2 linked regions of the Cricetulus griseus genome follow. The protein of the gene in region 2 binds, or shares a complex with, the protein of the main gene of each other region. Links are inferred from orthologs where the notes say so. Each region holds a gene or a part of one and is shown on either strand. Other genes may lie near its edges.

Region 1 (5,640 bases), on a different chromosome or scaffold from region 2:
GATTCCCTTGCCTCTCTCTACTCCCCACCACCACTACCTCCACCACCCTTCCTGTCCATTGGTCCTGGACATCAGAGAAAGATGAGTGAGTTGGAAGGGAACTCTGAGGGCTATCCTGGACCACTCTGGGCCTGTAGCAGGCACTGTAACCCACTCCAAGAGAACGCTTCTATTTCTTTCATCCCAGAGAGGGAGAAAGGAGTGAAATCACCTCTGGGTACCTAGAAACAGCCCCATCAACTTCTTAGCTTCTCTTAATTTGTGTGCTTCAGTGCCAGGGAATGGAGGGGGCCTTTAGTCTGATAGCATCTAGAAGTTACAAAAACTCCTATCTAGTGCTATATTCAGGCAGGAGAGGAATCTCTGCTTACACCCTAGGCTCCTCAAAGGCCACTGGTGACAAGCCAGTCTTCACTGGGCAGAATGCCAGTAAATCTTGCTAAAATGCTAGCCCTCTTCTATGCTGTGGCAACCCAGAGTCCTGACAGAGGTCAAGTATAGTCTCTTTTTAGACTCGGTGAGGCTGGTTATGTGGACAGAGTTCTGGATGAGGGCTCAGCATCTGGGTAGCCACACAGTGTCCTAGCTAGAAGACACGTGATCATCAACTGAAGGGTGACCTCTTCAGATTTCTTCATTGCTTCCATCATGGAAGAAGAGCCCAAGGAAGCCTGACCAACATCCCCCTAAACACGATACCCTCTACACAAAAGGTAAACATCAAGAAGGCTCTGCCTCCTCCCTTAGGCCAGCCCAATCCTTGAGGACAACAGCCACTCGGGCAGCAATGTCCTCCAGAGGCCCACTGTGTGTCAGGCTTGAGGCTATGTCTTCACACACCATCTATATCACCCTCACAGCTCTTTAAAGTTCCAGCTTGCAGGTCAGAAAAAGTGGCAGCCCACCCAATGTCACAGAGAGAAGGGTCATGTGAGACAGCCCCTCCCTGAACATCCCCCACCTTAGTTCAGACTTAGGCTAAGGTGAGGAGCAAAAGCCATCGGACTCTTCCTCCACAGGGCACCCTGGTCTGTGTTACACAGATACCCAAGCCATGAAGCTGGCCCACCACAGCCCCTTTTCCTTTGCACAAGCATCTTCAAGAACAGGTTCATGCACAGTCTCCTGAGGTCTCACAGGCCCTGTCACCACACACAACATTTTGTAGGTTTGTGCATTTTTCCAGGGAATGTCTATTTAGACTTTCATCAGATTCCCGGAGGAATAAATGACCTAAAAAAGGTTAAGAGCACCAATACTTCAGGAAGGAAGAGGTCTGAAATTGATTGGACAAGGCCTGGGCATCCCTGCCACCCTTGGTTTTCCTGCCATGGCCGAAGCGCCGGTCCCTGTCCCTTAGTTCTGCCTCTACCCTAGCACCTCTTAGCATCCAAGCAGGCTGAGAAGGTCAAGTCAGGCAAATAAGCCCAGTCCTAATGATCCCCATCTCTTATCAGGGCAAAAGAGCACTTTGGTGTCACTCTGATCACTGGAGTCACAGCTCAACTCCATCTCATTGTGCTCTGTGACGCAGTCCTGCCAAAAGCAGCTTTGGGGGTTCCTGAAAGGCAGCTCCAGTCCATTCAGGAAACCCTTAGGTTCCTGGTAAGCACTAGACATTCTCTGGAATGGGGTCCCAGATAAAGTTAAGACAGTCCACCACAGCAGCCTTCAAAATTGTATTCCTGCCCCCCATGTCCAATGCAAAGGCATGCAAAAGAGCAGGAAGTCTAGAAACAAACATGAACACACATTTGCACAAGAGGGATATGTGTGGGTGTCTGGATAGTTTGAGTGTGTGTGTGTGTGTGTGTGCGTGCGTGTGCGTGTGCGTGTGCGTGTGCGTGTGCGTGTGCGTGTGTGTGTGTGTGTGTGTATGTGTGTGTGTGTGTGTGTGTGTGTGTGTGTGTGTGTGTGTATTCAGGGGCTATGCTTACACACAACCATAGGTCCACCTCCCACACATATGCAGACACCAGCATAAGCTCACACATCCCCACAGCACCCACATGAGTCCATGAGTCCAGACCTAACACAAACACACACACTTCCTATACATATTCCTCAAAATGCATGCACACTCAAGAACATTCTGTCCACATTTCTCATCTGTGACCTTATACACCTTATACACACACACACACACACACACACACACACACACACACGTTCACTGATATTCACTCAGCTCTGTCCTGCCACACATGTGCACACAGATGCATGTCCATACCTTCGCTGCAATCTAACCAAGAGCATCTCTTGCATAATTGCACACACACACCCTTGCAGGGCACACTGACATTTTTAGGCTTTCCACACAGACGACACACTTGCACATCTATCTCTTCATGGTTTACTTGCACCAGTATTTGCGTGCCTTTTCAGCTCACACTGTGCCCAGTGTCAGTTCTTATACAACTCCATCTGCTTCCCATGGAAATCATATAGTCTCTCCTCAAAAATGTTTGCTGATACATGTACCTCCAGATCTCACACTGGCACACATCTGTTCACAGGGGCCCTTGTCTCACGTTCTCACTGCTACAGCAGGAACCAAACAGGGCTGGTATGGACACTTCTGTGTCCGTGGAGCACTCCGCCAAACTGCTCCCCAACTTCTGATCTATCCCAAGACCCCCACAAGCCCAGCTGGAAACATCTAGAAACCTTCCCTTATATCTATAGCCTGCTGATCTACCCTAGGGAACCTTTTCTTTTCTACTTCCCACCCTTCTCTCAACATCAGAGGCACAACACGATGGGTAACTTGCCAAAGGATCACCATTTTTTTTTTGTGCCACTGCCACAGTGGCATCCCCCAGCTTGCTGGTTGTTCCTCCCCTCCTCCCAACACCACAATCTCTTTCATGTTAACCCTTTCAGTACTGAAGCCCTTGTTCCTGGTAGGGAACTGGGAAAGGAGGAGAGGATGTGCCACTCTGTACAGTGTCTAAAGTCAGGATCTCCAGGCGAGAGATGGTGAACTCTATTACTGCAAGGTATCTAAGTTCAACTACAGAAAGGATTCCAGCTTGGACCCAGCCAAGTGGGAAAATCCCTTTAAAACCCCAAGTTTCTAAGAATCTTTGTGTACCCAGGTCATGTGTACTTACATACACAGTTGTGTATGTATACCATCAATCTATTACCCTTTCAACACACACACACACACACACACACACACACACACACAGGCCAGATGGGCACATAAATGTGTCAATGCCTGACTCTGGACACCCTGTGCACACCTGGTGTCCCCAAACCATGCAGCATGCTTCCCTCTGCATGCACGGGACAGCTCTAGCCACATAGGCACACGCCCCCTGCCCGCAGAGGCTGATCCCCTGCCCTCCAAGACTCCCTGAGGTGTGACTCACTTTCCTAGTTCCTCAAAGAGCTGGTACTCTTCTGTGAATCGGGTGCAGGTGATGGTGGCCATCCTGGCACTGGGCAGGCAGGCGAGGCTTTAGGCTGGGAACTAGGACTGGGATGCTGCTGTTCTGCTCCCAGAACTAGGGGCCACTCGCCTGCCCGTGCTCCTGAGTGCAAATGGAGAAGCGGCTTGACTGACGAGCTTGGGGCTTCTGAGCAGGGCACTGTGGCTGCTCACAGCCTCGCGAGCCTTCGTCAGCATCCAGGTCCCCATGGCAACCACCTCCGAAACGCCCTGTTCCCGTTGCCCCGGTAACTGCCTCCCCAACACCTGCCTGCCTTCCACTTCAAAACCTGCTCCTGTGTTGCCCTGGCCCCATATATACAATACTGCAGAACTGTGTGGGCCCCGGAGCAAGTGGACCCTGTTTTCCCAGGGTGATGTGCTTAGGGGGATGGAGAAGGGGAAGAGAACAAACTTAGTCCACAAGTGATCTTCTCTCTTCCTACCTCCCCCACCTCCAACTATAGGGCCCTTTTAACAGACGGGATGGGATTAAGTGGGGCAAAGAGGCAGTTGCTATGGTAACGACTAGTGGGTGCAACATTCTGGGATGGTCCTTGAGAAAGACAGGATGTAGTTACCCTGGCAACTTCATCTCCTCTAGAGAGACAGGTATTGCCCCGTTGCCCTGGCAACAGCTGGGTTCTAAGGTTTACAGGGGAATGATGGCTAATTCATCTCTCTCCTTCCCTTCCCCCTTGTAGTCTCTGCAGTTTCTCTGCTCCCTCTGGGAATTGGTCTAGTTGACTTGGCCTCTGCCTCTGTCCTTATTTTGCTCCCGCTCTCCCTGCTTTTTAGCCACTGTGTGTATCACACTGTCACTCTAGCCTGGGGGAGAAGTGCAGAGCCAAACCCAGGACTCTGTGGGAATGGCTCTGGCTGCTCTCTCACCCCTACCTGTCATCATTGTGCAGCTGGGCCCCTCCTGAGGCCTCTTCGCCAAGCTCTCCCCACCCATGCCCCTAGAGGAACCATGTAGATTTGGTCTCCTGGGGCTCATGTCCCAGTTTCAGCTTGTGCTTCGTGTCAAGGTAGGATTGGAAAGAGGCAACTATAATGAGGTAAGCATGGCCTGGCTCACCCGGGCCTGGGCCGGTGGCATGGATATATCCTGTCCTGGACTCTTCTTTCCCAAACTCTAGTCATCTTCCCTGATGACATCACCTCTTCGGTATACCAACCACACCTGTAGCCACAAATCATGCCCCAAAGCATGGAGTTTAAGATTAAGCATGGGTCTGAGTTCAAGTTCCAGCTCTGGCACTTATTAACTTCGTGAGCTTGGGAAAGTCAAGGAGGAAGCTCTCTGAGCCCCCATATCATTTTCTAGACAATAGGAAGAAATTCATGCTTGCAGAAGGCTCCCATAAAGATGGAATGGCCTAAGGGCCATAAATGGGATCTGGGCAGTTGACAAACCTGAATGGCTCTCAGTGTCTAGAAAGCGAAAAAGGAAGTTTTAAACTGAGTCCATGACCACTCCCACAATGCATCTGGGTCTTGAGCACCCACCTCCCCTTTCAGAGGAAAAAAAAGAGGTGCCTCAGCATGTCTCACGGATGGCTATGTAGAGGTCTCACGCCAGCATTTGTCCCCATTGAGCAAGGGGCAGATAAAAGGACCTGGAAATTCAAATTCTCTCAGTTTCAACTCACCCCTCAGAATCCATAAATCACTGTATCGTTTACTTCACTTGTGGACATAGCGGTACCTTGATTATTCTCCAACACCAACAAGAGCTTTAGGGTAGGGGGCCCTAGAGACACCAGGGGGCCCCTCTGTCCCTCTTCCTGAAAGTCAATGGAAGGTTGAGGGAAAGCTCTTCAATTCAGCCACTTTTCTCAGGAAAGAAAAAAAGGGAGGAGGTGGGGGGAAGGAGGGAGGCAAGCCAGGGAGGAGGGGGTAATGGCTTAGCCACTAATTGCACCATTACCACCTTCAGAAAAGGAAAAACCACTCCGTTTTGTTTCTGCGCACAATATGCTTCCCGCTTCTGCCGCCAACGTGGCAATTCGGAGGCAGAGCAGAGAGGCCTGTGCTCACAGGGCTGCACAGCTGGTGGGTAGCAAGCAGGCACAGAACACCGTGGCCAAGGCTAGAGGCACCAGAGGAAGGCAGAGGTGGGGTAGAGCTGTATTTCCATCCTCCTGCCTCAGATTCGTGTGTCAGTGGTTCTCGGCCCTCCTAATGCTGTGACTCTTTAA
Region 2 (5,495 bases):
CCAAATCCCTCTCTATTCCCTTGACAGGTAGATGATGCTCCTAGAATTTCTGTGATGCCAATTTCTGAGGTAAGTTTACCTGGGAACTGAGCAGTTGATGTGGGAAGGACCCTAGGCTGAACCTGTGGAATCAAGAGGACATAACTACACCAAGTGTTAGTTGCATTGACAGATGACATGAATTACAGTCTAGCGATTTCAAGGTCAGTGTGATACCATCTGTGTGGAACTTATAATGCCCCACATATCATTTTTTTCAAAAAAAAATAGCATGAATTTTCAGTTTTTGACATTGCTGGGAATTGAAGCTGGAATCTCATGAATTTGTGGATAACTCACAATTTTTACACAAAATGTATTCTATTATCCTCAGAAAAAGATTAATTTGACATAAGACAGTAATACTAGCAAGCTAAAAGAGACAGAATTAGAGGAAGGAGAAGAAATAAAAAGGCCGAAGAAAACTTTCTATGTCTCAGGCTGTGTGCAACACAATTCATATAAATCCGTATCTCACAACAGTCCTGTGACCCACCATCACCATTATTTTAGAAGTATATAAACTGAGTCTTTTAATGAAAATAACACACAGTGAACTGCATCTGGTTATTGTTGCGTGTGTTGTGATAGAGAATAAACCTTTTTACAAGCCTCAAAAGTATTAAATACCACAATGTTCTATCTCTACTATTAAAACGATGGTGTCTTTTTACCAGGAGATAATGTTTCCCCATCAAAGCTCAGAGAGTACTTCTCATTCTTTTCACTATATTAACAAGGGGCAGTCTAGATCTCTGGGGGAAGAAACACAGAAACACACACACACACACACACACACACACACACACACACACACACACACACACACCAGAGAGAGAGAGAGAGAGAGAGAGAGAGAGAGAGAGAGAGAGAGAGAGAGAGAGACGTATGGAAGTCCTCTCTTGAGGACTTGCAGCAATTATAGTAATAAAATTCTTAGCTACAGATGAAGTATCATAATAAACATATATAGTTTACACCAGAAAGAAATTTAAGCTTAAGTATGAGATAGTTTATCTATCATCATTAGTCTTGTGAAGCTGATGGCTTACTATCATCTGCCATCAATCACCTGCTTAGCTGGTGGTTTTCAGACTTAACCTTGCATCTCAGTCTCAAATATGGCTTCTTAAACTACAGACTACTACTCTAGTCTTAATAGATATTTATTCAGCAAGATTGGGCCTAAGCCTTTGACTCTACTCATCTAGTGAGTTCTCAGGTGATCTACCTGCTGCTGGCTCAGATGTCAAAATTTAAGAACCACTACTTCAGATAGGAGTTCATATCTTTCCCAAACCATGTGGTATGGCTGGCCTGTTATGCCATCAGTTGGAGGCCACTCTGGGCTACCTAGTGAAACTTTGTCTCAAAGAATAAAAGCAAATATATAAGTACAACTTTCCTAAAAAGAACCAGATAAAGGATTTTGGTTTTGTTCTGTGGAACATTTGGCCTGAGTTGTAGATACTTAAGTATTTCTGTGAAGCCAAAAGTAGATCTACAGAACATTTAAACACACATGTGATGCCTGTGTTGCTATAAAGTATTTCTGATGGAAAGAGGCATCGGGATGGATACCATAGTAACCTGCAGTAGAGTAACTATTGGCCTATATAATCACTAAAAGGGCACTCATGGAAATCACTATTTATGTTAGAACAGAAACTCTCTGGGAACCATTTACCAATGTACCCACATATCTTACTTCCATGTTTTTAAGTGAAATCTATAGACCTATACCAGAGATGAAGATGACGTATTGAACCAGAAGAGGAGGAATTTAGTAAAAGAGAGGTGATAGTTAAAAGTAATGATCTTCAAGAGTGCTCATTGTTGAACATGTTCACTTTTACATTTTAGCTTTTACCAGATATTGTTCACATGGTAATAGGACACAACTCCACCATGTGCAAAGATCAACACTTCAGTGAATGACATTGAAGTCACCGAGAAGAGGTCTAGACTGACGTTGCTGCACAACACACAGTGAAAGTGCTTCCCTTCCTGTGAATGCAGGCTGTGATACTTACCCTCACTTCAAACTAATTTAAAATGCAAATACAAAGTTAATAATTCACTGTGCCATCTATGTTGTGGAGCTCGGCATTAACTTCATAGTTACAAAATGTAAGTTCTTAAAATTGGACAAAATTCAGATCAGTGTTTGTCATAATGGAATATAATTTAGTGTGCCAAAAATAGCTATATGCAAATACCACAAGGAAAGTTAGGATCACGAGTCATTTCACAAACTTCAAATGTGAATATCATGTCAAAAGTCTCCAACAATCTGTTATAGGCTATGGAATATAAATATTTAAATAAAGTCTTTACAGATGACTACACATTCTAATATAAAATAATTTGGGGCAGGATTAAAGTGTTTTTACAGTGTCATTTATAACATCTGACTTTCAAAACGTTTTACTAAATTCCCTTAAATCAAAAATTTCAGTTTGACAAATGGACATACATATACCCTTAGACATTTAATTCCCTAGAAACACAGTGTTTTTCAAAGAGTGTGGCATTTTAAGAAAGAAAAAAATGTTCAAAAGAGAACGGCAGTCCAAAAGAAATTGTAAAATGTTGATTTTAAGCACATTTCATAAGTTTCTTTACCTCAGAACTCCTCAGAACATTGGTATGTATGGTGTAGAGAGATTTTGAAAGATTTAGAGTACGGTGTGGACTTTTCTGTTATCATTTAACACAAAATCCAAATGCCATGGGAAGTCCCTAAAGTACCAGAGGAGTACTCATGAGAAAATGGGGCTTGCAACACTTGTAATTGTTGCAATTAAAAAAAAAACAGCTGGGTGGTGGTGGTGCACAACTTTAATCCCAGCACTTGGGAAGCAGAGGCAGGAGGATTTCTGTGAGTTCGAGGCCAGCCTGGTCTATAGAGCGAGTGCCAGGATAGGCTGTGAAGCCACAGAAAAAAACCTGTCTTGAAAAACAAAACAAAACAGGTCAATTTAATATATATTTTTTGATTATCTCTCTAATTTACCTGAGCTTATAAAAGTAAACCTATTCATTTTTTGTGCCATTCACCGAAAATCTACCTAGAGCATGGTTGTTATGATTAGACATACTTACACTCCTCTTCAGGCCTCTTCCGAAGTGCTGCACGAGCCTCCTTGCAGGGACTTCGCTGATATTGTGGGGGATTTCTTCCCCGCATTAGGCTCTCCATCCTGTAAGAGATATTTTATTTTATTTTATTTTATTTTATTTATTTTTTATTAGTTCAAATAGGAGCAAGCTTGTTTCACATGTCAATCCCTTCTCCCTCCCTCACCCCTCCTACCTCCCATTTACCCCCACACCCCATCCACCCTCCACTCCCCAGGCAGGGTGGGGCCCTCAGTGAGGGCTCTGCAAAGTCCACCACATCATCCTGGGCAGGGCCTAGGCCCTTCCCCATGTGTCCAGGGCAAGAGTGCATTCCTTCACGTGAGATGGGCTCTCAAAGTATCTTCTTACACCAGGGAAAAATACTAATCCCCTATCAGGGTCCCCCTAGAATGCAGAGGCCTCCTCATTGACATCCATGTTCAGGGTAGACCAAGAGTATTTTATTGCATGAATCTTGATTGACAATGGACATATCACACTCAAGTTTAAATACTGACAGAAGCTTTACAGTCCACACCACTAAGAGTATCTAAGATGACCAGGGAGCATTATAATGATAAATCTTTCTACCAAGCCGCCAGAGCCCTACTGCCATGTGGGCGGCCAAAATAACACAGAGACTTATATTGGGTACAATGCTGCTGGCCAATAACTAGGATTTCTTAACCTATATATTTTATAAAGGCTTATCTTATTGAGGACACCAGCTGAATGTGTCCTCTCTTGTTGGACTCACATGGCAGCTCTGAGAGAAGAGAGATGCAGGAAGAGGAAGAGAGCAACTTCCTGCTTGTCCCTGCTTTTATTCTGAGTCTGCCTGCTATGTCACTTCTTGCTTGGATCACAAGACTTTACCACATTTCCCAGAATCCTCTTGACTCCTACTCCTGCCTAACTTGCTACCTCATTGGCCGAACAGTGCTTTATTCAACAACCAATAAGATAAACATACACAGAAGGACCTTCCCCATCAGAGCATGGGGCATGGTAAGCTGGAGAGCACTTGGCTTTTGAACGACAATTTGATTTAAAATGTTAAAAAGATATCACATGGAGTTAGAGAAACAGCCCAGAAATGCCAGTCCTTGCCCCATAAGCACAAGGACTTGAATTTGATCTTCCCCCAAAAACCGTGTAAAAAAAAATGCTAGGTGTGATGGCATGTTCTTAACTCAACAAGTTCCAGTACAGAAACCCCATCTCAAAAAATACAAGTGGACTGAGAAATGACAACTGACTTTGTCTTCTGGCATCACATGGACATATACATATATGTGCACACACACACACACACACACACACACACACACACACACACACACACACACGTGTGCACAACACCATGTGGACAAAGCAAAGCTCATACACAGTCCAATAAGAGAATGTCAAGACTGAATGTGTCTTACCCCCAATATAAAGGTATTTGGAAGTAATTAGATCTAGGAGGATGTTATAAGGGTGGGGTCTTCATAGTGGGATCACTGTCCTCCTAAGGTGGGGAAAGAGAGCAGAATCTCTCTCTCTCTCTCTCTCTCTCTCTCTCTCTCTCTCTCTCTCTCTCTCTCTCTCTCTCCCACACATGGCCAGTGAGAAGACTATCACCAGGAAGAAGACCTTACCCCAAAGCAAATCTGACTGCACCTTGATCATGGATTTCCCAGTCTCAACACTATGAGCTAGTTACAAATGTCCATCATGTAGCCACTCAGTCTATGATAACTTATCACAGTAGTGCAATCACTCCAAAAGGAAGTTATTAAGGAAGAGTAATTATTTGAAAGTAAACACACACACACACACACACACACACACACACACACACACACACACACACACACATATATATATATATATATATTATATATATATATATATATGAAGAAAGTCACCCTTTAGGAAAAAAGAATTTGTCCTGAACATTTCAAAGCTTAGTCTTCAAGAATTGACTTGCTGTTTCTTTCCATGCTACTGGGTGAATCTGAAAGGATTTCTTTATTATTAGGAACAATAATTATTGTTGTGAGGATGTCAGTTTGGAGGTCTGGGCAATCTGTGGGACCTCTGGTAGTGGATCATTATTTAATCCTAGTATATGAATGGACTTTGGGAGTTCTCTCCACATAGAGGGATACTCTTTCAGCCTGGACACACGGGGAGGGTCTAGGCCCTGCCCCAAATGATATGACAGACTTTGAAGATCCCACATGGAAGGACTCACCCTCCCTGGGAGCAGAAAAGGGTTGGGATGGGGGCTGGGTGGGGCAGGAGAGGAGGGGAGGGAGAGGGAACTGGGATTGACATGTAAAACAAGG

Evidence for each region. Proteins that work in one complex are often made in the same cells at the same time.
Region 1: the proteins of Lrrc7 (region 2) and Camk2a are in contact, whole or in part, in a crystal structure (PDB 6X5G), measured with the Homo sapiens proteins. The link is inferred for Cricetulus griseus from reciprocal best matches to the Homo sapiens genes LRRC7 and CAMK2A. Residues at the interface, in NP_001357714.1 of Homo sapiens: His843, Gly844, Arg845, Arg846, Pro847, Leu848, Ile849, Arg850, Gln851, Asp852, Arg853, Ile854, Val855; in NP_001350919.1 of Homo sapiens: Glu96, Phe98, Glu99, Ile101, Val102, Lys137, Glu139, Leu159, Phe173, Ala174, Gly175, Thr176, Pro177, Gly178, Tyr179, Leu180, Ile205, Gly209, Tyr210, Pro211, Pro212, Phe213, Trp214, Tyr222, Gln224, Pro233, Glu236.

Annotation. Positions count from the first base shown.
Region 1 is NC_048595.1:178,171,966-178,177,605, forward strand, and holds the start of Camk2a (calcium/calmodulin-dependent protein kinase type II subunit alpha), read right to left. Parts: upstream 3,440-5,640; coding exon 3,378-3,439; intron 1-3,377. UniProt on the Homo sapiens protein: Calcium/calmodulin-dependent protein kinase that functions autonomously after Ca(2+)/calmodulin-binding and autophosphorylation, and is involved in various processes, such as synaptic plasticity, neurotransmitter release and long-term potentiation.
Region 2 is NW_023276806.1:1,194,377-1,199,871, reverse strand, and holds the start of Lrrc7 (leucine-rich repeat-containing protein 7), read right to left. Parts: upstream 3,242-5,495; coding exon 3,145-3,241; intron 1-3,144.